Neodiprion lecontei: one gene and its partners. The protein of the gene in region 2 purifies or fractionates together with the protein of the main gene of each other region. This does not show direct contact. Links are inferred from orthologs where the notes say so. Each region holds a gene or a part of one and is shown on either strand. Other genes may lie near its edges.

Evidence for each region.
Region 1: the proteins of mediator of RNA polymerase II transcription subunit 19 (region 2) and DNA-directed RNA polymerase II subunit RPB7 purify together in Homo sapiens (affinity purification with mass spectrometry; 3 studies listed by BioGRID and IntAct, with this or other methods). This does not show direct contact. The link is inferred for Neodiprion lecontei from reciprocal best matches to the Homo sapiens genes MED19 and POLR2G.
Region 3: the proteins of mediator of RNA polymerase II transcription subunit 19 (region 2) and putative RNA polymerase II subunit B1 CTD phosphatase RPAP2 purify together in Homo sapiens (affinity purification with mass spectrometry; 3 studies listed by BioGRID and IntAct, with this or other methods). This does not show direct contact. The link is inferred for Neodiprion lecontei from reciprocal best matches to the Homo sapiens genes MED19 and RPAP2.

What each region holds. Positions count from the first base shown.
Region 1 is NC_060263.1:8,226,551-8,233,454, reverse strand, and holds DNA-directed RNA polymerase II subunit RPB7, read left to right. Parts: upstream 1-3,712; 5' UTR 3,713-3,983; coding exon 3,984-3,995; intron 3,996-4,079; coding exon 4,080-4,189; intron 4,190-4,407; coding exon 4,408-4,567; intron 4,568-4,648; coding exon 4,649-4,699; intron 4,700-4,769; coding exon 4,770-4,835; intron 4,836-5,331; coding exon 5,332-5,403; intron 5,404-5,475; coding exon 5,476-5,509; intron 5,510-5,626; coding exon 5,627-5,640; 3' UTR 5,641-5,900; downstream 5,901-6,904. Other genes in the region: uncharacterized protein LOC107222869, read right to left, coding at 6,654-6,904. UniProt on the Homo sapiens protein: Core component of RNA polymerase II (Pol II), a DNA-dependent RNA polymerase which synthesizes mRNA precursors and many functional non-coding RNAs using the four ribonucleoside triphosphates as substrates.
Region 2 is NC_060263.1:2,150,258-2,157,161, reverse strand, and holds mediator of RNA polymerase II transcription subunit 19, read left to right. Parts: upstream 1-2,940; 5' UTR 2,941-3,375; coding exon 3,376-3,562; intron 3,563-3,673; coding exon 3,674-3,830; intron 3,831-3,912; coding exon 3,913-4,012; intron 4,013-4,111; coding exon 4,112-4,393; 3' UTR 4,394-5,353; downstream 5,354-6,904. Other genes in the region: RNA-binding protein with serine-rich domain 1-B, read right to left, coding at 910-1,199, 1,294-1,541, 1,628-1,894, 1,970-2,092, 2,482-2,483; RNA-binding protein cabeza, read left to right, coding at 6,487-6,499. UniProt on the Homo sapiens protein: Component of the Mediator complex, a coactivator involved in the regulated transcription of nearly all RNA polymerase II-dependent genes.
Region 3 is NC_060261.1:546,684-553,587, reverse strand, and holds putative RNA polymerase II subunit B1 CTD phosphatase RPAP2, read left to right. Parts: upstream 1-3,264; 5' UTR 3,265-3,405; exon of another isoform or gene 3,406-3,634; 5' UTR 3,635-3,674; coding exon 3,675-3,730; intron 3,731-3,799; coding exon 3,800-3,926; intron 3,927-4,021; coding exon 4,022-4,993; intron 4,994-5,079; coding exon 5,080-5,246; intron 5,247-5,318; coding exon 5,319-5,495; intron 5,496-5,589; coding exon 5,590-5,761; 3' UTR 5,762-5,873; downstream 5,874-6,904. Other genes in the region: protein GPR107, read right to left, coding at 1-51, 1,634-1,779, 1,895-2,034, 2,568-2,678, 2,813-2,902.

The DNA.
Region 1 (6,904 bases), about 6.1 Mb from region 2:
TTGCATAACATGCAATGCATAAATATGAAACTAGACAACGGTAATAATTAATTTGAAAACTGAAAAGCCAATTTGCTAAATCAATTCAAGTGTTCTATTTTGTTTTTCACAGATTTAAGCAGAGACTTCCGAGTAACTTTTCCATTTCTCGGCAGCGTTGGTGAGTTTGCACGTGTTAGGTTACGGGTATTTCCCTGGGATTCCTCTGTCACGTGGCGTGACGGTAACAATTATTACACAAATCTTCGATTTCTTAGCTGCATGGATAGGCTCATTCGCGATCGCAATGTGCTTGACTTTTAGTCGAATAATTTTTGTTTAGCAATTTAATTTACCGTAGTTTATTTAATCTTAGAAATTTTGCACGTTGCTAAAAGTGGAATGAGCATCGCGACAGGTAACCATCGCTTACACGGCACTCGCGAGATCGAATTGTGTTTCATAACTGTTGTAATAATCTACGTTTGAATTTACCGATGATGTCGTTTAAGTGGTGTGTTCACCTGAGGTTTGAACGTATTCAATTATTAACATTATTCTTGAATCAATAAAATTACAAATTCTGGCATAACGTAACGTAATCAAATTGCATTTTATATTATATATCATGTTCAATCATTTAACATCCAATAAATATCGATCAGCTGCAGGCTTAGCTCGCTTAGAAAAATGCTAATTGGCATACAGGATGTTTTTAATCAATTTTACAAAAGGTTGATGTACCGATAGTCTGCCAACATTTACTAGAATAATACCTACAATATTAGGGTTGAGGGGATACAACCGCGATACCATATTCTGAGTAGGCAGACTACGATACAAAAACATTTTACTCCCAACAGGTAACCAACGAAAATGTAAGTCAGTGACCACGGCGCAAATGATGAAGAATGATGTGTGTTGGAAAAAATGGAGAATCGTTTAGATCGAATATAGGTAACAGGGTAGGTAGGTGGACGATTTGGGATCCGTCGCGGGGTTTATACATGTGTGTGCGAGAGTCTGCTTCTCCGTTGGGTGGTTCCGTTGGAAAACAGGCAAGGGTAGGAAGGTCGCGATGTACCGTGATGTTGATAAATTTTGTAATCCACAGCGTCAAACGATCACAGAAAGTTTTTTCTCAAAAGACTCCATTTGAGTCTCTCGATCATTTGTAACCATTTGAATATTAACGAGATCGAATTTCCCATTTCTTGTCAGTATGCAACCACTTTTCAATTGTTATTCAATTCAATTATTCAGTCATTACCGATCATTGTTCTATTCAATTGATATCTGTGATCGTCTGAATGGGCAAATCGCATCTCTGGACTATTTATCGCGTTCCGTGGTACGGTAAATAGAGAGAGATGCTCAGCTCGAAGACTTCGCGTCGAAGAGGACCGCCGACCGTCACGCCACACAATAATGCATACCCTCCAACCCCCCTTGCGATTTCGATTTGTAATCTGAGAACAACAATCCGCATAGAAATATATTTAATTCAAAAAAATGCAGATGTGGATTGGGTATCTACAGAATTTTTCGGACCAGTCCCAGATAATACAAATTTTTTAACAGTTCAGTCTGTCGCGCCTTTTTGCGCGTAGATTTATCACGGGAATTGAACGCAGCTTTTTGCGCGTAAATTAATAACGATAATCGGTCACGTTTTGTTGTTCGTCGATTTTGCAAACAGTATATAAAAGAGTTACGCACTCTCGATGTGTTGATTTTTCAGCTCCTCGTCAATTTTTTGACGAATAATAAAGTTTCCAATTTCGACGCCACCTTTGGCACGTGGACTTGATACGTTTCAGTTATGAGGCAAAGCGCGGCATTTGAAAACTAGCGCTCAAGGCGCAGGACCAAAAATTTCGGTAGTGTATACTAGTAGTGGAATGTAGATAGTGACGTTAGCGTAAGTATTTATGAAATTTATCCAAAATTTACAGATATACTCGTTCAACTGATCGTTTTATTTGTTGTTACAGGGCAACAAAACCATTTTTTCAACAAACGCATTGAGAACTGTAGAATGTTCAGTCGAAAAAGATATTCACTTTAATGTTTCAAAGCAGAAAGAGATATCGATTCAAAAAACTTGGACTGTTTTTTATTCATCAATACAATTAATAATTGAAGCAACGAACATTAAAGCGAATATCATGTTGGACTCAACCCATTTTTTGTCAGTGTATGAACTTATGTGATTGTGCTAATCATACCTTCGTCTGTTTTAGCTAATCAAACATTTTATCTGTTTTAGCTAATCGAACACTGTGTTTCTTTCAGCTAATCAAACTTTTTGTTTGTTTCAGCTAATCAAATCTATTGTCTGTTTCAGCTCAACAGATTTTCCGTCTCTTTCAGCTAATCAAACTTTTTTACTGTTTCAGCTAATCAAATCTTCTCCCTGTTTCGATTAATTAATTTGCCTCTTTTTTCGTTAATTATATTTTTATCTGTATTGACATATGTCACTAATTATATCTTCATCTGTTGCAGGTAACAGCTTTATTGACTATACTGAAAAATCAACGTTTCATTGTTTAGGCTTACGTCTGGTCTAGGTCTGGTTCAGGGTCAGTCATCTTGTTTTCACCGATGCATAGATTTAGCGATGCAGTTCAGAATCATCATGATCACAATGTGTGGTAAAATTTATCTAGCTGTAGTTTATTTTTCAATGGTTTTACAGTCTTTTATTGCGATCGTTTTAGTGCCAGAGTTTTTTTTCTCAAGTCGCTCATAGGTCATGTTCGGTTTGTATTTTGCGGTAGAATTATTCAGCTCTCTCGTATTTTGGTGGTTGTGCTTATTCTACTCCGATTTGTTTTCATTTCTTCAAAGATTTCTGCATCGTCTTCCGATAGGTAAATGACAACATTTTACAGCTATTCGTGTTTTTGATCTTGGTTTAGTTGTAGATTGTTTTGCGTATTCACCAGGTTCTCCATTTTAGTGATTACCTCGTACCTCATAAGAAAAAAAAACCGTGCGCGAACTTCCAAAGTTAATTGCCGTTTACATATAAGATAAAAACGATCACCCTTCATATATAATTAAAACGACCATCATTCATCTATAATTAAAGCAGTCATCTTTCATCGATAATAAAATCACGGAACCCTGATGTCAGTTAAGAAATTATTTTTATATTTCAGCTGCATCTTTTTTTGAAATGAAAGTATGAGCGTTGACTGAAGATACATATTATTATCTTCAGTTAACGGTCCGAGTTAAGTATTAAACATATTTACAAAAATTACATAAGGTACATATAGGAACAATTATATATCTCTATTCTTTGATTAACTTCTTCGACTGTTTCCCATTCCTTGCATCAAGAAACGGTTTCCAACTCTGTCAACAGTAAACCAAGTGCATGTTTATTGTGCATCTATATACATAGCATTATTTTTGTCGATGCGATGGATTTAAATTGATATTGCTGAATTTGGCCTAAATGAATTTGCGTAGTTGAAAAGTAGGTATACGGCGTCCACACGGAGTTGTATGAAAATTTCAGTCTGTTCCCGTTCGTCATTCCATAGGCATAATTATATTCGACTATTCGATGAGCGATGGTAACATCAGCTACGCTGTTGAGTTGCGCGTACAAGGTAGGATGCAGGTGGCGCCGCTTGAACATGAGTTTATTTCTTCCATTTTCGATTAGGAAAAGTCTCATAAGGCTATCAGTCTTTATATATCTTCAATCATGGGTTTTCCGTGAAATATTACGTTCCACAATTTCAAACGTGCGCTATTTTTTGGGCATGCGCAGCAATTTTCCCGCGCCTGACTGCCGCGTTACTCCAACGGTCACTCGCATAGTCACATTTCGCGGCGTAATTCTGTACGAACATAACCCCAATGTGACAGATTCTGTCAGACTTAGTTTCTGAAAAGTAGGGTATCGATTTCAAGAGATTCTGTAAATACAAAAAAAAAGTAATAAGTTGGATAGCTGAAGACCGTTAACGGAGGTAAAAAACAACATGTTTTATCACGTAAGTTAACCTCCTCTTATCTTATTCGCATTGAAATGTGTTTAGTTCGAGTTGATTTGACTCAAAATTGCCATCATATTACAGATATCGTTGGAGCATGAGATCTTGTTGCATCCGAGATACTTTGGACCTCAGCTACTTGATACGGTTAAACAGAAACTGTACACTGAAGTCGAGGGAACGTGCACTGGAAAGTATGTGATAATTAATAACTGATTGAATTGCTTTTGAAAATAGGTATTGAAGTCAGGTATAGCGATTGAAATTATGCAAATCTTATTTCTCATCGCAAAACATTACGAACAGAGTGGAACTGCCTTTATTCTTATACTTTAAATGTTATAAATGACAACATTTTCCATTACGTCAAGCATTTCACTTACAAAACATTATTCACCTCGAATTTCTATAGGTATGGATTTGTCGTCGCAGTGACAACGATAGACAATATTGGAGCTGGTATTATTCAGCCAGGACAAGGTTTCGTTGTATATCCCGTAAAATATAAGGCTATTGTTTTTCGACCTTTCAAAGGAGAGGTTCTGGACGCAGTCGTAACGCAAGTCAATAAGGTATAACAAGTTGTTATGTTGATATGTGAGTTTTGATCATAATCGTACAAACATTACTCTGTGTATGTCTTACGGTTGTAGGTTGGCATGTTCGCTGAAATAGGACCATTGTCTTGTTTCATATCTCATCACGTGAGTATTTTTTTTGTTTCCCATTTATCATTTGATGTAAACCTAAATTTTTCGTTTTCTTTTATTTCAGTCCATTCCAGCCGACATGCAATTTTGTCCAAATGTCAATCCACCTTGTTATAAGTCAAAGGAAGAGGTGAGAAATTTATTATGAAATTCGATATTGGATTGTGATGTTCTGTGGAAATAATATTTTTGCTTATACAAATTTTAGCTAGTTTTAGAAAATTATGAACATCGCTTTTGATAAACGATAAAATAATATTTAGCCTTGATTCTGAAATATATATTTTTGAATTCGTGTTATTATCTATCTTCTATTAAAATTTGTCATTGAGAACAAGCCATTGTTGTCAAAGAATATGAAATACCTTTTATTGATTATAAAACAATTAGCTAAATATTGCAATGGCTTTGGTACGTTACGTTATACAAAAAGATGAATTTATCGTGGTACAATCATAATGATAGTAAAATTCATGTCAAAAAATAACTGAACTAACATGTACACGATGTTAGTGCTTCATAGAAACATTTCCCAAAGTTATTTCTTATCGAACATCGAAGGTTGTTTCGAAGGTTTCTTCTGAAACAATCTAAGGATAATCAATTTGTTATTCTTTCAATTACAGGATGTAGTAATTCAAGCAGATGACGAAATAAGATTAAAAATTGTCGGTACCAGAGTTGATGCGACAGGGATTGTAAGTACACAGATTTACAAAGAATTTTTTTAACGAACTTATTTCATTAATTTTCCTGTGAATCATTTTCAGTTTGCCATTGGTACCTTAATGGATGATTTCCTTGGTAAGATTCTGTTTAGATTATTCTGTATACATTTTTTTTTCATTTTCGAACTTACATATCTTTACTGTTAATTGAATGTTAGATTTTAACATTTAGTTTTGAATGCATGGATTCTAGGCTTGGTGATGTAATGGGAACTAATTACTGTACTTCGAAAATGTAACATATTATCCGATCCATGGACTGACATAATTTATGGCACGGAAGGAAGTGGCGACCAATGTAAAGTGTGACAATTGATCCTGGGATGTTTGTACATTCATCTAAATGACTAGTTTGTGACAAGTTCAGATGATTAATCAATGGCCCAAATCGGTTATAAGATAATAAAAGATACTTAAGTTAGGAATTACGTTTGAATTCTATGTGTAAATAAATTTTTATCTTGGGATACGTTTCTTCATTCATATGTGCAGGACTTGAAATTGTTTCACGGATTAGGTATATAGGATTGAGTGGAGTAATATAAACCAAAGGCACGGTGTACAAGTATGTATACATAATAGTTTTATTTTTTCACGGGCTATAGATGACGCTTAGCGGTGGCTTCGTTTTTAATTTACAAGCAAGTAAACTCTCTTACATTCAACGTCATCTCGTGGTTTAATTTGTCAATGACTACATTCAATCATCTGACCATCACAGTTTCTTAATAAATTATGTAATCTACGTAATGAAAATCTAACAACAAACTGCATTTGTATGTGATACAAATCAATCGTCGATAATTGTTGAGAACATCACTCACTCGAAAATTTGAATCTCAGACTGATTAGTTACACTTTTGTATGTTCCAAGTATTTGGTGTACCGGTGACTAAACTAAAACTTACCTATTCACTAGAGCTTTACTTTGTCAAATCTATCTAGAAGCAGAAGTTAATGTCTTTACTATTGAAACACCCAATTTGTCATCACATAACGCCAGTTGCTCTTTTAATTGAAAATCGTTCGGAATTGTGTCAGGTTATCATTGTTTTACATTTGGTAAATGACGCTACTAGCCACATGAATAAAATGCTAGACAACATTACATAGAAGTCGTTAGTGATATTTCGAATTTAATAATTTTATTTTCAAAGCATCTCAGGGCTGGAACAAAATTGGACAAATTTGAGATTTAAATGTTTTATTACAGTAATAAATTATTTAAGTTTTTCTAACGGTAACAAATTTGTTGCTAAATGCTCTGTATCTCCTTGTAACTTTCTAAGTAATGAATCATGTCGTCTTGACAATGGTCGCAAGAGGTACATTTCAGGTATCGTTTCACCTGGCACTAATAAGCCCAAAAACAGGGCTAGTTTTGCCGCAACTGCAGATGAGTCTTTGGTTATTGGAGTCTCATCTCGATCAGGCATCATTTTGTCTGCTACATGTTTGTAAATCAGACCCT
Region 2 (6,904 bases):
CAGAGATTCAATAGGAAATCCGTTAAAACGATTCTCCGTGCCATGGGCTTCGTTAATTCTGTTCGGGACCCTTTCCATTATGGTTTTTGTTTTCAAATGAATTGTAAGGCTCCCACGATTTATTGACATTGTAAAGCCATTATAAAATTGTATATTATATAATTGATAATTACATACTATTTAAAGATTGTAGATATTTTTCATCAGTGCAAATTGCAAGGCGATGCAATGATTCTGTTTTGTAGATATCGCGAGCATAGAACATTTTGTGTGAATAGATTTTTTCTAAAATTGATTCTTTGTAAAAGGGTCTAATAATCATAGTTTCTATCAAAGTAACCATGACTTCAATATTTCCCAGTCCTACATTTTATCCTGCATCGTGTGTAACAATGACTGTAATCTTTAGATGGTAGCATCAATCAATGTTGTGCCTTAAAATTTTCTGCTATTCCCAAATACGTTCCAGATACTTTGAATTGGAGCAGAACTAAACTTTATCAAAATTAAATTCTATTGCTGTGTTCATTACCACTTTGTGATACTTCACTTTTGTGGATGTTGCGTTATCGCATAGATTCCTGCAAATTATGTTTTATCACATGTTCTTAACCTTCGTTTACATAAACTATGTAAAGCTGATTTCGATGAAAGTTTTGTTATTCATTATATTCGGTATATAAGGGAGGAATTTACAGTTTTTTCAACTAATATTCGACCTTTATTTGAAATATGTCACCAGTCAACAGTGATCAGGAGCCGACCAATGAAACTGGTGACTGAGGTCCGTCGGAGAAATTACAATATTCAATTTCATTACTTATCCATAATTATTTGATTACACCAGATTTTATAATAATTCCAATGTAAAAAAAATTATGCAAGATCAAGTTACACGGTCATTTGACTTTATCGAGAGCTACTTGAACTGGATCTTGTATAACGACGATGACGATGACGGGGATTTGATGGAGGACTTCGGGAGCGTGTTCTCGGTCTTCGGCGAGGAGGCGGGGGGCTTCTGCGACGATTCAATGGTGGAGAACGTCTTCGGTAACGTGGTGGCGAGTTACGACCTCCACCACCCCATCTTATAGGGGGTCGCCGGCCCATGGGAGGAGACATCCTGCGCATGGGAAGTGGCCTTGGCTTTGGCAGCAATACTGGTGCAGCAGTAATTTCTTGTCCATCTATTTGGCCTGGAATTGAGAAGTGGTGTGTTTGAAAATTATTTCAACTAATGATCAAGTTAATAGATTATTATTAATACAACTTATGCCCAAACATGTTTACCTCCATCCATGTGTTTCATAGCGTTTTCCGCTTCGTCTGCAGTTTCGAATTCGACATACGCAAAACCCTTGCCACTTGGAGGATGTAATCTGTCTAGGGGAAAATCTACCATTTTTATGATTCCATAAGTAGAGAATATTTCGACAATGTGCTCCTTGGTAACATTGCGTGTCAGCCTTCCAATATGAATTTTTGTCGGCCTTGGTGTTGGAGAACGTTCTCTACGTTTTCGCCGTGGTGAATGCGACCTGAAACAGGTGTTATAAGTTTTTTACTTTGCCTACGAAGCAAACAATATATTCTAACAGACAAATTGTAAAAGCGATAGTTTTACCTAGAACGGGCTTTGGGCTTTGGCTTTTCGGCCACTGCATTACCAGATTTCTTCTTATCTTTGTCTCTTTCCTTTTCTCGTTCTTTCTCTTTATTGTCATGCTTTCTTGAGACATCTGCGCTCTTACTCCGGCTTCTTTTGCGACCCCTGTCTCGGGAGCTTGCTGATGAACTCCCAGAGCTACTAGATGACGAACTAGACGAAGAGCTCGATCTAGAACTGCTGCCACTAGATGAACTTGAAGATGCCGAGCTGCTATCTGATGAACTGCAAAATCAATTAAGTGTAGATCGGTTCAATGTCCGTATAATGAAATTATGTCTGTAGTTGTTTGGAACATACCTCGAACCACTACTTGACGAGGAAGCAGCACGCTTCTTCTTTTCTCGCCCTTTTTCTTTCTTGTTTTCCTTGTCGGTGGCTTCTGAATCGCTCTTACCAGCGCTATCCTTGCGGCTGCGTGCCCTGGGGAAATATTTACATAATAAAAAATCAAATATTTCAATAGAATGTAATTTGTATGGTAGACTGTTCGCGAGTCACACAATAGGGGTTAGAATAAATTCGGACTTCATCATGCCGTCACCGAAGGTTTCATGAATTATCATATTTTGTTGGTATCCGAATTTACATGGGAATCCAAGATAAAAACCACCCTGCCGGTGTTTGTTGCCCACAAAAGGTTGAAATACGTTCCGAAAGCGACACTCTTAGTCACCCTTACCATACGAATAGCAACAGCGTTTAAAAAAAAAAAAAAAGCACGACACAGTTTGCTGACCATGAGCACAAAAACAATTACGGTAAATTTTGAGTCATAAAAGTAGTTTTAAATTTGCAAAATTATTACGTACATGGTTACCGGTAGTTGAACAGGCGATATGTTTTACTATCTATATTTCCTATCATAAAATGGACGTGACGATACGCTGTCCACTTTCCAGTTGTGAGCGAAAAACTCGTGGTTAAGGTATCGCGAACGCGATATCGTGTAGATATCGTAAATTTATGGTCCAGATAACATTAACACCAAAAAGGATAACCACTTTATTTATTATTTAACCCTTCAGTTTTTTTCATGCGCAAGAGTACTCGTATTTATTTCACTATGTAAAAAGCGTCATTTGCCGGCAGAAGAACGAACACACAGCTAAGCTATATGCGGTCACAGTGATGTAGAGTGTATAGAGAGTGAAACACGGTGTGCAGGTCCATTCTGTGTTCCAAAAGTGAGCGTGTACGACTCCCGCTAGTTTCATGCAGGTGTGCACTTCTAGGTTACCTAAATATTCGAAGGCCAGGAATCGTTAATGTTTCCAAATCGCAGTTTCTTGTCTGCGTCGAGTGTGGTTGAGCTCGTTGAGTGAGTTTGTCGCGATTATGGGTGTTATGTATGTCAGTTTTCATCGCGTTATTTATTGTTTTTAAACAATGTGATAAGGTCGCCGAGACTCAGCGGGCGTCCAAGTTCTTCAGCGAGGCTCCGATCCTCGCGTTTTGTCTAGCGAGATTATTAAAATAGCTGACATATGCACTAGACTGTGTAAAGTGTCGTTGATTCTCTGTGTACAGTTGCATCACACGAGGATCATCGCTGCAGTGAAATAACGTCCGGGTGGAGCATCGGCGGAGCGCACAGTTCCCATCGGTCTTTACCCTACTGTTTATTTCGCTGCAGTGCTTGTGCCAAAATAGGAAGATAAAACATTGTTACTGTAGCGAAAGGGCGATGAAGTAAAGCCAGGAGGATGATGATGGGTGATCAGTTTCGTAGTAAAGTGGAACAATACTCACCAAAATCATCACCGAGGGGAGCCCGTTCCCCTGTAGTTTCACGTCAGGACTCGACTGGAACTCTCAAAACGACGATTTCCCTCGGCAAGAACCCCTCAATCGTCCACAGTGGGCCTTTCTACTTAATGAAGGAGCCCCCTGGTGAGATTATCACTTGTCAATTTAAAACCTCGAATAATGCATAACTAAATACACGTTGCCAGTTCTTAGTTCTTTCAAGCTTAATTCAAATGTCATATAAATATTTTCTAGGGCAAAGTGAACTCACGGGGGCTACAAATTTGATGGCCTATTATGGCCTCGAGCATTCCTATAGTAAATTCAGTGGTAAAAAGCTCAAGGAACAACTCTCATCATTTTTGCCAAATTTACCTGGTATCATCGACGCGCCTGGTCACCAAGACAATAGGTACGAACTTGAAACATTATTATTTTGTATTGTAACGCGTTTAAACTATTATTCTCATTAACATATTTCTTTTCTCTTTCAGTTCTCTAAGGTCTGTGATAGACAAGCCTCCAATCTGTGGAAAAGACCTTCTTCCACTCACCAGCGTGCAACTCGCTGGATTTAGACTACATCCCGGACCTGTGAGTTATTTCATTTCGTTATATTTACATGTTTCCGTTAAAGAAACTCATTTTATTGTTGCCCCAAAACTGTCTGATATCCGTTTCTTAATGTTACAGCTCCCAGAGCAGTATCGTTACGTAAATCAGGCACCGCAGCGAAAGCACAAGAATAAGCACAAAAAGCATAAACATAAGCCTGGCGAAACTCTGAGCGGTCAAGAGGCTACTACCACTGATATAGGGGGACCTGATCCCCATGAAAAGAAGCATAAGAAACAAAGGAAGCATGACGAGGAGAAAGAGAGAAAGAAACGGAAGAAAGAGAAAAAACGAAAAAAACAAAAACACAGCCCTGAACATCCCGGAGGTCTCACACCCTCGCAGCATTCCAATACGTGATCTCCATTCTTTCCATTTTTATTCATCTAATCGATTATACATACCCGTGTGGTTCGTACACAAAGTGAAACGAGACGACGAGTTTAATTCATTTATTCAGAAATCATAGAACTGCCCATGTGCCTTGCTCAATTCAACGCAACGTAAGAAATTTAAGCTTTTTCTTAACTAAAGAATATCCCATGTTATTTTTAAACTGCAGCCAATACATGTTAATGTATTGTCGTGCATGCATCAGTTACTGTATAGGCGAAATAAAACCTCATGGCAATTACAGTAATTTTAGATAGGATGTTTATTGGTGAACTCGGCCTGTCTATCACTCTGTTTACTCACACCATTTTAGTCCTGTAATCGGCCAAAGTGTATCCAGGAATTCACGCAGTTCTGTGAAACCTAATTTCATCGTCTCAGTTTCGATAAAAGGCTGTGTGTCCAGTAGTATAGTCTAATGTCTATATAGATTGTTTTGACTATTGAATACTAAACAAAAGAAAAACTCGGTTATGAAAAAAGATTGTTTGTATTCATGACAATTTGTCAATGCCACCAGTTGTTGGAATACCGATACTAGGAATTGAAAATCTATGTGGAACCGTTTCGAATATGTTGATTGGCCACAAGAGGTACTTTGCTAATCATCGATATTTGAGCGAAGTTTCTTGTGCAAACAATTGTTACTTACTACTCTTATAATTTGATATTAAACAAGAGAAAAGTCAATCAGATGAATGATGTGTTCACAAAACAACTAGCTAATTATAAAAGAATGAATTGATTAAGAATATTTATGCCAAGTAGTAAAATAAACGCAAAATTTATTATTCACCAAATTTCAAACGGAAACCAATATTTCATTTAATGTATGGTATAACTAATTTGTAGATTGATCGAAACATGAATTATCCTATGATATTTGTACATATTACCTACAATATAACAAATCCTGTAACATTTAAACCGAATATTTGAATAATTTAACATCTAACAATAAGAAGCAATACCAAAAAATTTAAAGAAGCCTACTGAAAATGAGACTTTTGAAATTTATTTTATCAATATCGCAGGCAAGTATATCAAAATATGTCTGCACTCACTTGCAGTTAGTCAACGCTTGGAAAACCAACGGAATCCCAAGTGTGTGATCAAACTGGAGCAAAATCAATGAAAATCATTAAAAGCTCACCGTTTTAATCCGAAAACTTGAAAGAGAAATACCAAATGCGCAAGATTATCGTGCCGTTGATTATTTCATTTTTTGTACATTCGATCTATTTTTAATTTATTTAACACATTATTGCAACAATTGTATTTTATCATATGTGTTTTATCGTTCCGCGCGTATTTGGTATTGATACCTAATTATCTTTCAAATAAAGTAAGGATAGTTTTCGTACGAAAAGCGTTTTACCCCGAGAACCCTCTCCGCCTGATGCAAGGCTACATAGTCCAGAACTGGAGAGTTAGCGGAAGAGTGAGAGCGAAAGGTATATGTGTCCTTTCGCTCTAGACTCGATTGGCCGATACGTTACCACTCGACCAATCAAATGCAGAGTGAGAGAGACGGAGTAACCCTAATATATATAAATCTTGCTCTTTCATCACTTTGGCTCCATTTTTCGCCAGTTCAATGGATGGGTAGAGCATGGAGACTAGAGTAGTAAGTATGGAGCGTGTACGTTTACGATACAATAAGTGTAACTGTGTGACTAACACATTCAATTTCATCAATCAACGCAGTATGAATCAGCGCCACGTCGATTATTTTATGTACCCTCATTTGCATCCAGAGTTTGACCATGTTTTGAACGCACCGCCATTAGAGAATGCGGTTCTTCCATAAGTACGCTCCATAGCTCTAAGTTGAGAATTACGAGTGACTGTGGTGGTAGACGTCGGCCATCGCCGTGGGTATAACTCGCGTAACTCGTAGGTATAACTTCACGATATCGCCGGTAGTCCCCAAGTTGCCGAGCCGTTCCCGCCATTACGTGTTCTCACACCCAGACGTTGCGTGTACTTTTGCGTGTGCGGTGTGCCTTGAGCAATTATAGCGTCGCTATTCGCATTTGTGAAGGACGCCACTGGGCACGATGACCGATAATCGTAAGTATTATATATTAGTTGTATAGCCGAACTTGTTTGTAGATAATATTATAGACCGTCCCTTACCGGATCGTCGTAATAATTGTGCATACGAGTTAGTAATGGATCAGCGTCTTGTCGGGCGTTTTTACTAACAGTCGTCCATGCTATTTTTCGTCGTCTTGACTTTGCCACGCCACTAATTTTATCGTATTAAACCTGATGATACCTAATTGTAGACGGTAATACTAAGTTTCTTTGCTTTCGCTCGATATCATGATTTTTCTTTCCTACCCAAGGCACGTAGTTAAGTCATAACATTAGATTTTCTTTTCGAAAATGTGATTTTGCTGCCTGATCAATAATCAACTACGAATCACGCGTTTCGTGCTTACGAGTTGCTGATTGTAACATGGAGTCTTATCA
Region 3 (6,904 bases), on a different chromosome or scaffold from region 2:
GACAGCCGCTTTTGATCGATGGTGGATTGTAGGATTGCACAGACCTCTTACCTTTTGTAATAATAATAAATATAACATTAAAATCATTTAAAAACGAATCTGAACAAATTATCTGCAGTTTTTCTACTGATAGATTTATGGGTGAAAAATAGTTTGAATTTAGAAAAATATTCTGATCTATTAGCAATATTTATTTATTGTCAGTTCCAAATGGTGTATCTTTGAAAATAACATTAAATTGTCATGTAATGTTGCTGTTGTTACATTTCAACTGAAAGGCTTGAAATATTTGACCAATTGACCAGTTTGCGCCAAAATTTATTTATAAATTCCTAAGAGAAATGGGTGACTAATTGTTGTTAATGGCCTCTATTTTTTATATCAATGGAAGCATGGTTAAAAACAATGACTAACAGTAAGTCCAAAGTTTCCATCACTTGTTGTCAAGACTCTAAGCTTATTAAATTCATAGTACATTTTCAGAGATATACCAAAGCGGGCTGAGTTTTGAACGATTGGAATCTCAAGAGACGGATGGAATACTTCTGAAGCACAAAACTACGTTTGATCAGCAAGTTGGATGAAATAGGTTCAGCGGTCTTGATAAACATAACGCTATAAATTTGTGAATAGGCAGCTGTTTATGATACAGTTGTGCACTGTAAAATAAATACTTGGATGCATCAGAATAAAACACAATGTACTGGAATACTGCCAACAGACATATTGGACCAACTTGAATTTTTACTACGTTTCTTTCAATGTTGTATACGAAAAGACCCTGAGTTGCTAAAAAAAAGTGTATCCACTCTATGGACAGAAATAATAAACCAATTTCAAATATACTTCATGATACTTTAAACACTAATTTTTTTCTCATTACTTTTCTTTTTTATCTTTCTTTCCTCTTGGTTCCAAACAAAGGTATGACTAAGGTTTGCTATAAAAATTTTAAATGTCCAAATCACAGTTGTACATTATTGAGAGTGCAAGGAATCTGGAATACTTATTCAATTTGTCATCTTATTTCTTAGTATTTTGAATTCCATTTTCTGTGTCCATTATGAAACTCCTTACAAATTATTCGTAATGTAAACGGTACGTATTTATAGAGCTAAATATCACGAAGTTTATGCATGAAAAATGAATATTACATACACTAGGTATCATCATTTTCTCTGTGTATTTTTTTTTTTTGAATTTATGAGACGTCTGGGAGCAAACACAAATTTAGATCACTTCTTGCTATCATTTATTTATTTTTTTAGAACTAACCCAATTAATAGTTGTATCAATTCGTAGTGTACATGGTCGAATGTATCAGTTTTGTGTCCGGTATGACTTTTTCACCTGTAGGCTCACGCAGCTACTACCATACTCATATGTAATTTAATTTTAGCTACAAATTCTTGAGGAATAAATCATTGGTGGCACTTCTGCCAGTAGTGTTGTAGTAATACTTAAAAGTTCTCTCTTTTTTTCAATTATATTTCATCACTACTGAAAATGCTTTCGATGATACAAGATGTTAGTTGTTACTCTAATCCAATATCACAGAACTTGTGGAATAAAGTAAAAACGTCCACATCTGCGACACGAACCACATTACATGAACAATTGAAATGAGACTTACCAAAATCTGACATGGCATGGTCTATTCTTGGAGAAGAGGCCGTATCCTGTAATCGTTCTGCGTTTCTCTTTAATCGAACCTGTACCACATCTTCACTCGGGTGAATGGATATCAGATTCAAGTCTTTCTTGCAGGTTACGTTCATTCTGTAAATATTTGTTATGGAGCAAAAATTAAAACTATGAATTTCCCACGTTAATACTGATTTAACGAAGTTTGGACTGCACTGTATATTTTTCCTTCCTTGTTAATTATACTTACATTGAATGCCTCAAATCCATTTTAAAATAAACAGCCTCATTCAGCTGGGCTGTTTCATCTAGTAATGGACATTTTTCTCGTTGATTTTCTGTGTACGAATTACTAACATCGCTGAGAGTTCGTTCCAAGCTGAATCCGAACTGAAATAGTTATAGTGTTATAAATGGCAGTTGCATTTAGTATTGTCCTGTAATAAATAGGCACGTAATACAATTTATCAGATGATCGGGCACTGAGTACAATACTCGTATTCATAATGTTACAAGCAAACATGCTTGTGCAATCACATTTGTCGGAATGCAAAGCGTATAATCTTGGAAAAACCTTACATCTCCCACATTAGATACCAAATTCATAAGATGTAAAAACATTATCAATGTTGGGAATAAATGATAAGTTTCCTGCGTTCACATCTACGTGATATTGCAACCTGATGGAACAGGTTCGATAAAAGTTGGGAAGAAGAAACGATTTACTAGTATATGTCAAAGTATAAAAAAATACTCATTTTCCTCTGAATGTTAACGACAGCTCATCTCACCATACAGTTATACGGAAAAGGTGAAGCGTCGGTGATGGAATGAATATTGCTGGGTGAATGTACGTATGTATGTGTATACGTACACCAGGTGTACGTATGCCAGGTAAATCGAGGGTTAAACGTCAAACCTACCACTGCATCCTCGGCGCCCTGTTCCACCTTAAAATTAGTCAAGTTTACGCGCAAAGTGCCTCCTTCGTAAAATCCGAATGTGCTGAGAGCGATGTAAGCTCTGACGTCGTTCTGCAATAAAGGAAATTGATTATTTTCCTTTGGAATGTTTCACCGATGAGACGGTACTACTGTACGTACAACACACGCGCGTGTCTAGTACGCGTATAAAGATTCCTGAAAAAAAATATAATTCGTCAACGCACCCTTATCTCAAGCTTGTGAATCCTCGCCTGAGTTAGCGAAGCTAAGGTGAGCACAACTATGCACGAAACAATCACGGATTTTGAATACATTTTTCAAATATTTATATTGTAACGTTACTTCACGTATCGGGGAACATTGCCACTTGACACACGAAACACCTCGCCCCGCAAGTTCGCACGGCGAGCAGAAGCAGCAGAAGCTGGTTCGGCAGGGATTTGGAAAATGGTATAAGATGCCGAATGCGGATGGAACTTCTAGTTACACTCGCTCGACATGGGTGGCGTCAGTGTGTTTGATTTGTTTATTTATTTATTTTTTTATTTTTTTGTTTATTTTGCTCCTTGAATCACGTGATCACGGCATTCTCTTATTAAATTTAAAAAAATAAACCTGATATTATCAACGGCAGCGCCTCCAGTGCAGAAATTATTTCTCCACATTTTCGGCCGTTTCTTCTATACGTTAAGATCGTTCTCCTTGTATCTAGACTCCATGACTGCACCACCACCTTTAATGCTCCGTGTGCACCACACTCATTTTTAACAACTTGTATGGTTGTCTTATACCAAGAACCGAGCTGTCAGTTTGACAGGTTAGAAGGAGCGATTCAAATTTCCTCGAGATTTCTCTGTAGCATCCAAATGTAGTATCTGTTAATAATGTATCGCAAATATTCCTGAATCAATTGTCAGGCTGTTGGTGGAATCTTATCAAACTATAATTGCATGTACAACCTTGTCATCGATAAAACCGACCCTAATCTCACCTAGCGTAACCTAAATATAATTCTTTTTCACGCTAATTCGCCCTTGTTGTCCCAGATATTACAGGTATAAATCATTGAAACATTGAAACACAACGATGACATCAACGTCGAGGAAACGTAACGATGGGAGCAGAACAAAAATGAAAATGAGGTAGGAAATTGATATTTTGCAAGTTTACTGGGTAGTAAGTAAAACATTTACGTTTCGTTTTATTTCCAGCAAGGAACAACTGCAGCTGGCTCTGACTAAGAAACGGCAGTGTGATGCGAGAGCTTTAGCAATTGTAGAACGGTTGATAGATGATGCAGTCGACCAAACTTGGCTTTTGGAAAATGTTAGACGAATGGTTGCTCAAGATTCGGCAATATTAATGAAATACCATTTTCGTTGTTAATTTGTATTGTATACACCGTTTAAACTATGAAATATTTTCTTCTACAGCTGGAGCATATCAATCGATGTCACATGGACGACGTAGTTGAAGAAAGAGCTATATTGAGACGGTGTGGTTATGCTCTGTGCGACAATCCATTGAAATTGAATATAAATCAAAAATATCACATATCGACTCGCAATAATAAGGTTTATGATGTAAGTCGCAGAAAAAATTTCTGCAGCAATAACTGTTATGGAGCAACAAATTACATTCTTGAACAAATGCTCACTAGCCCACTGTGGCTGAGAAATCCGAAAGAAAAGCCTTGCTTCCAGCTGCTACCTCCCACTGGATTAATTAAAAAAAGTACTCCAGGCGATGAAGTTTACCTGGGACGAGAAAACGTCTCTGTTGATTCATGCGAAATACAAAAAACTGATAAAGCTATTGTGTCTGACAAATTACCATCAACAGAGAGTAATAATGCGATTGAAAATACTATAAATAATGTACCTGATAATTCCATAAATAAATCAGGCACCGAAATCGTTGAAGGGGATGTAAGTGCTAAAGAAATAGCCAATCTTCACAAACCCGCAGAACCAGTTGCACGCCAAAGTAATAAATGTGATACTTTGGCGGTTGAACAAGATGTTCGATCAAGCATAAACAATATTTCCAAAGTAAATGCAAAAGAAGATAAAACGCGCAAAGTACATGGCAAACAAGATGTCAGGAAAAGTAAGGTGGATTCAAGCTGGTTTGTTGAACGTATCAAACATTATTTACAAGAGTGGCTTACTTTGGATTCCTTGGCTCTGTTGTCGGGAGATGTGTGGTTGAAGCAGCAAAAAATAGATGAAATTACGAAACATACAAAGGACAGTAAATTCCAAAAGAAATATGTTGAACTATGCCAAAAAATCGATTCATGCCAAGTAGATGAAGACACTGACGAGGAAGATAGTAAACGCGATTTAAAACCTCTACCAGATTACAGTGTGCTGAAAGAAGCAAGTGCCCAAATAGAGGTCAAGGTATAATAGGATTGGATGTACTGTCATTTGTCAGCAACAAATTGTCTTTATCCAATTCAAATTTACTAGTAGTCTATTTCTCGTAGGTACGAGCATTTTACCAAGGCCAAACTTTGATAGATGCAACAAAACCACCATCAGGTAACGCAGTTGCTAATGAGGAAGATGATTCCAGTACATTCATGCCAATGCTTGGAGAGCGTGAGCCTAGAACACTCAGGAGACGTATAATTTTGGAGAAACTTGATAAAGTGTAATGATGGTTCTGCATTGAGATTAGATATTCCAAATTAAAGCTCGCATTAACGCTTGTATAATATTTTAGGTTGCCAGAAATGGTGCGTACCTTGGCTGGAGGCGAGTTTGCTGTTGATGGATGTATCAGCACTAACGGGTGTGGAAAAACGGTGAAAGCTCTTGTAAACACCTTTTCGTTATCGGCTAGCAATGTTATCCCTAAGCCTGCGGAATGGAACCTTCTTGGCCTTATTTTTATAAGACTGTGAGTAGCAGATGAACTATTGAGTAATCGTATTTATCATTTCATATATTAAATTTGTTAGAAGACAGTGCATTTGTCTTTAAATTTATCGCAGGTTGAGCACCTCCGAGCCCAGGTTGAGGTTTCTATTGGGTACAGACCGAGCGTCAAAGTATATAACTATGATTCTAATGTCTTATAATTTGGAGCCTAGTGACTTGGACACGCTGGTAGCGGTGGCAACAGACATCCAGTTAGTTAGCAATAAGAATTTTCCAAAAAAATAACGATAATTCGATTTCTCCTGACGCTGACAGATCTTCAGAGATATAAAATGTATGATTCTGGTTTCTGTGATACCACGCAAGCGTGCATGCGAAATAAAATAATAAAAGTGAATTTTTGTCACGTGTTTCACAATACGTAACCCGTATTTCACGGAAATTCGCAACACCTTAAGTAAAAAGAGAAGAGAAGTGGCATGCTGTGAAAGTGAGGACAAGGAGAAGCTAGTTTGGTGATGAAGATGACTGTGAAAGAGATAATGAAACCTCGTTCGATGCGGGACATCCCTCCCAGCTGTAACGTTTTCACTTTACCAAGGAATGGCTACAAGCTTCTATAGTACCCATGGTATAACTCTATGGCCCATGGAGAGCGTAATCATAAATGTAAAGTCTCTCCAGCTGTTTAGCAACAGTTATTCCACTCAGTTTACATATACGGAGTTTTTTTTTTTTTTTTTTTTTAGAGAGAGAGAACCATCTAATGCAAAGACTTGTTCCTGGTTGGTTAATGAGAGTAGTCGCTACTAGTCGGTACAAAGTAGAGTTTGAGAGAAGGGAGAGAGCTCAGAGTCCTTACATCCAATGTAAAAGCCTCTTCCGATGATGCCCCTGATACGAGATAGGTTCTTGTTTGCAACTGATTTTCGGTTGAAAACGAGTGTCTGCAATCGATCAATACTTACCCTATATACTGACAGTCGATAACACCACTGATGCATCAAGAAAGCTGTGGATGATACAGAACACCTTTATAGAGTTTAGTACAGAGATCGATAGTCGGAAGGGTTGGAACTGAACGAATTATCATAAAAATTCATTACCTCGCTGGTGAAGCCGTGATACTGTGAGTTTTTCGTCCTGATTGTGAGTGTGAAACAAAATTCGACGATTTAAATGAATTAAAAGCACATTGAAAGGGAACCCCTCTGTTAATTGGTTAGAAATGGTTCATGTAGTGCCTAACCAAATAACCCTGGTGAATGATCCGAAGCTTGGATCACGGACTCGGGTAGGTTCCTTTACCGTTGCCGTATTTTTACCAGGGCACATTATGCCGTGGCTGTCCATCAGACTCGGGATCCTCAAACATCGGTGGTTGGACACGGTTTGCTCAATGCCGTACACCAAATTATTTAATATGCA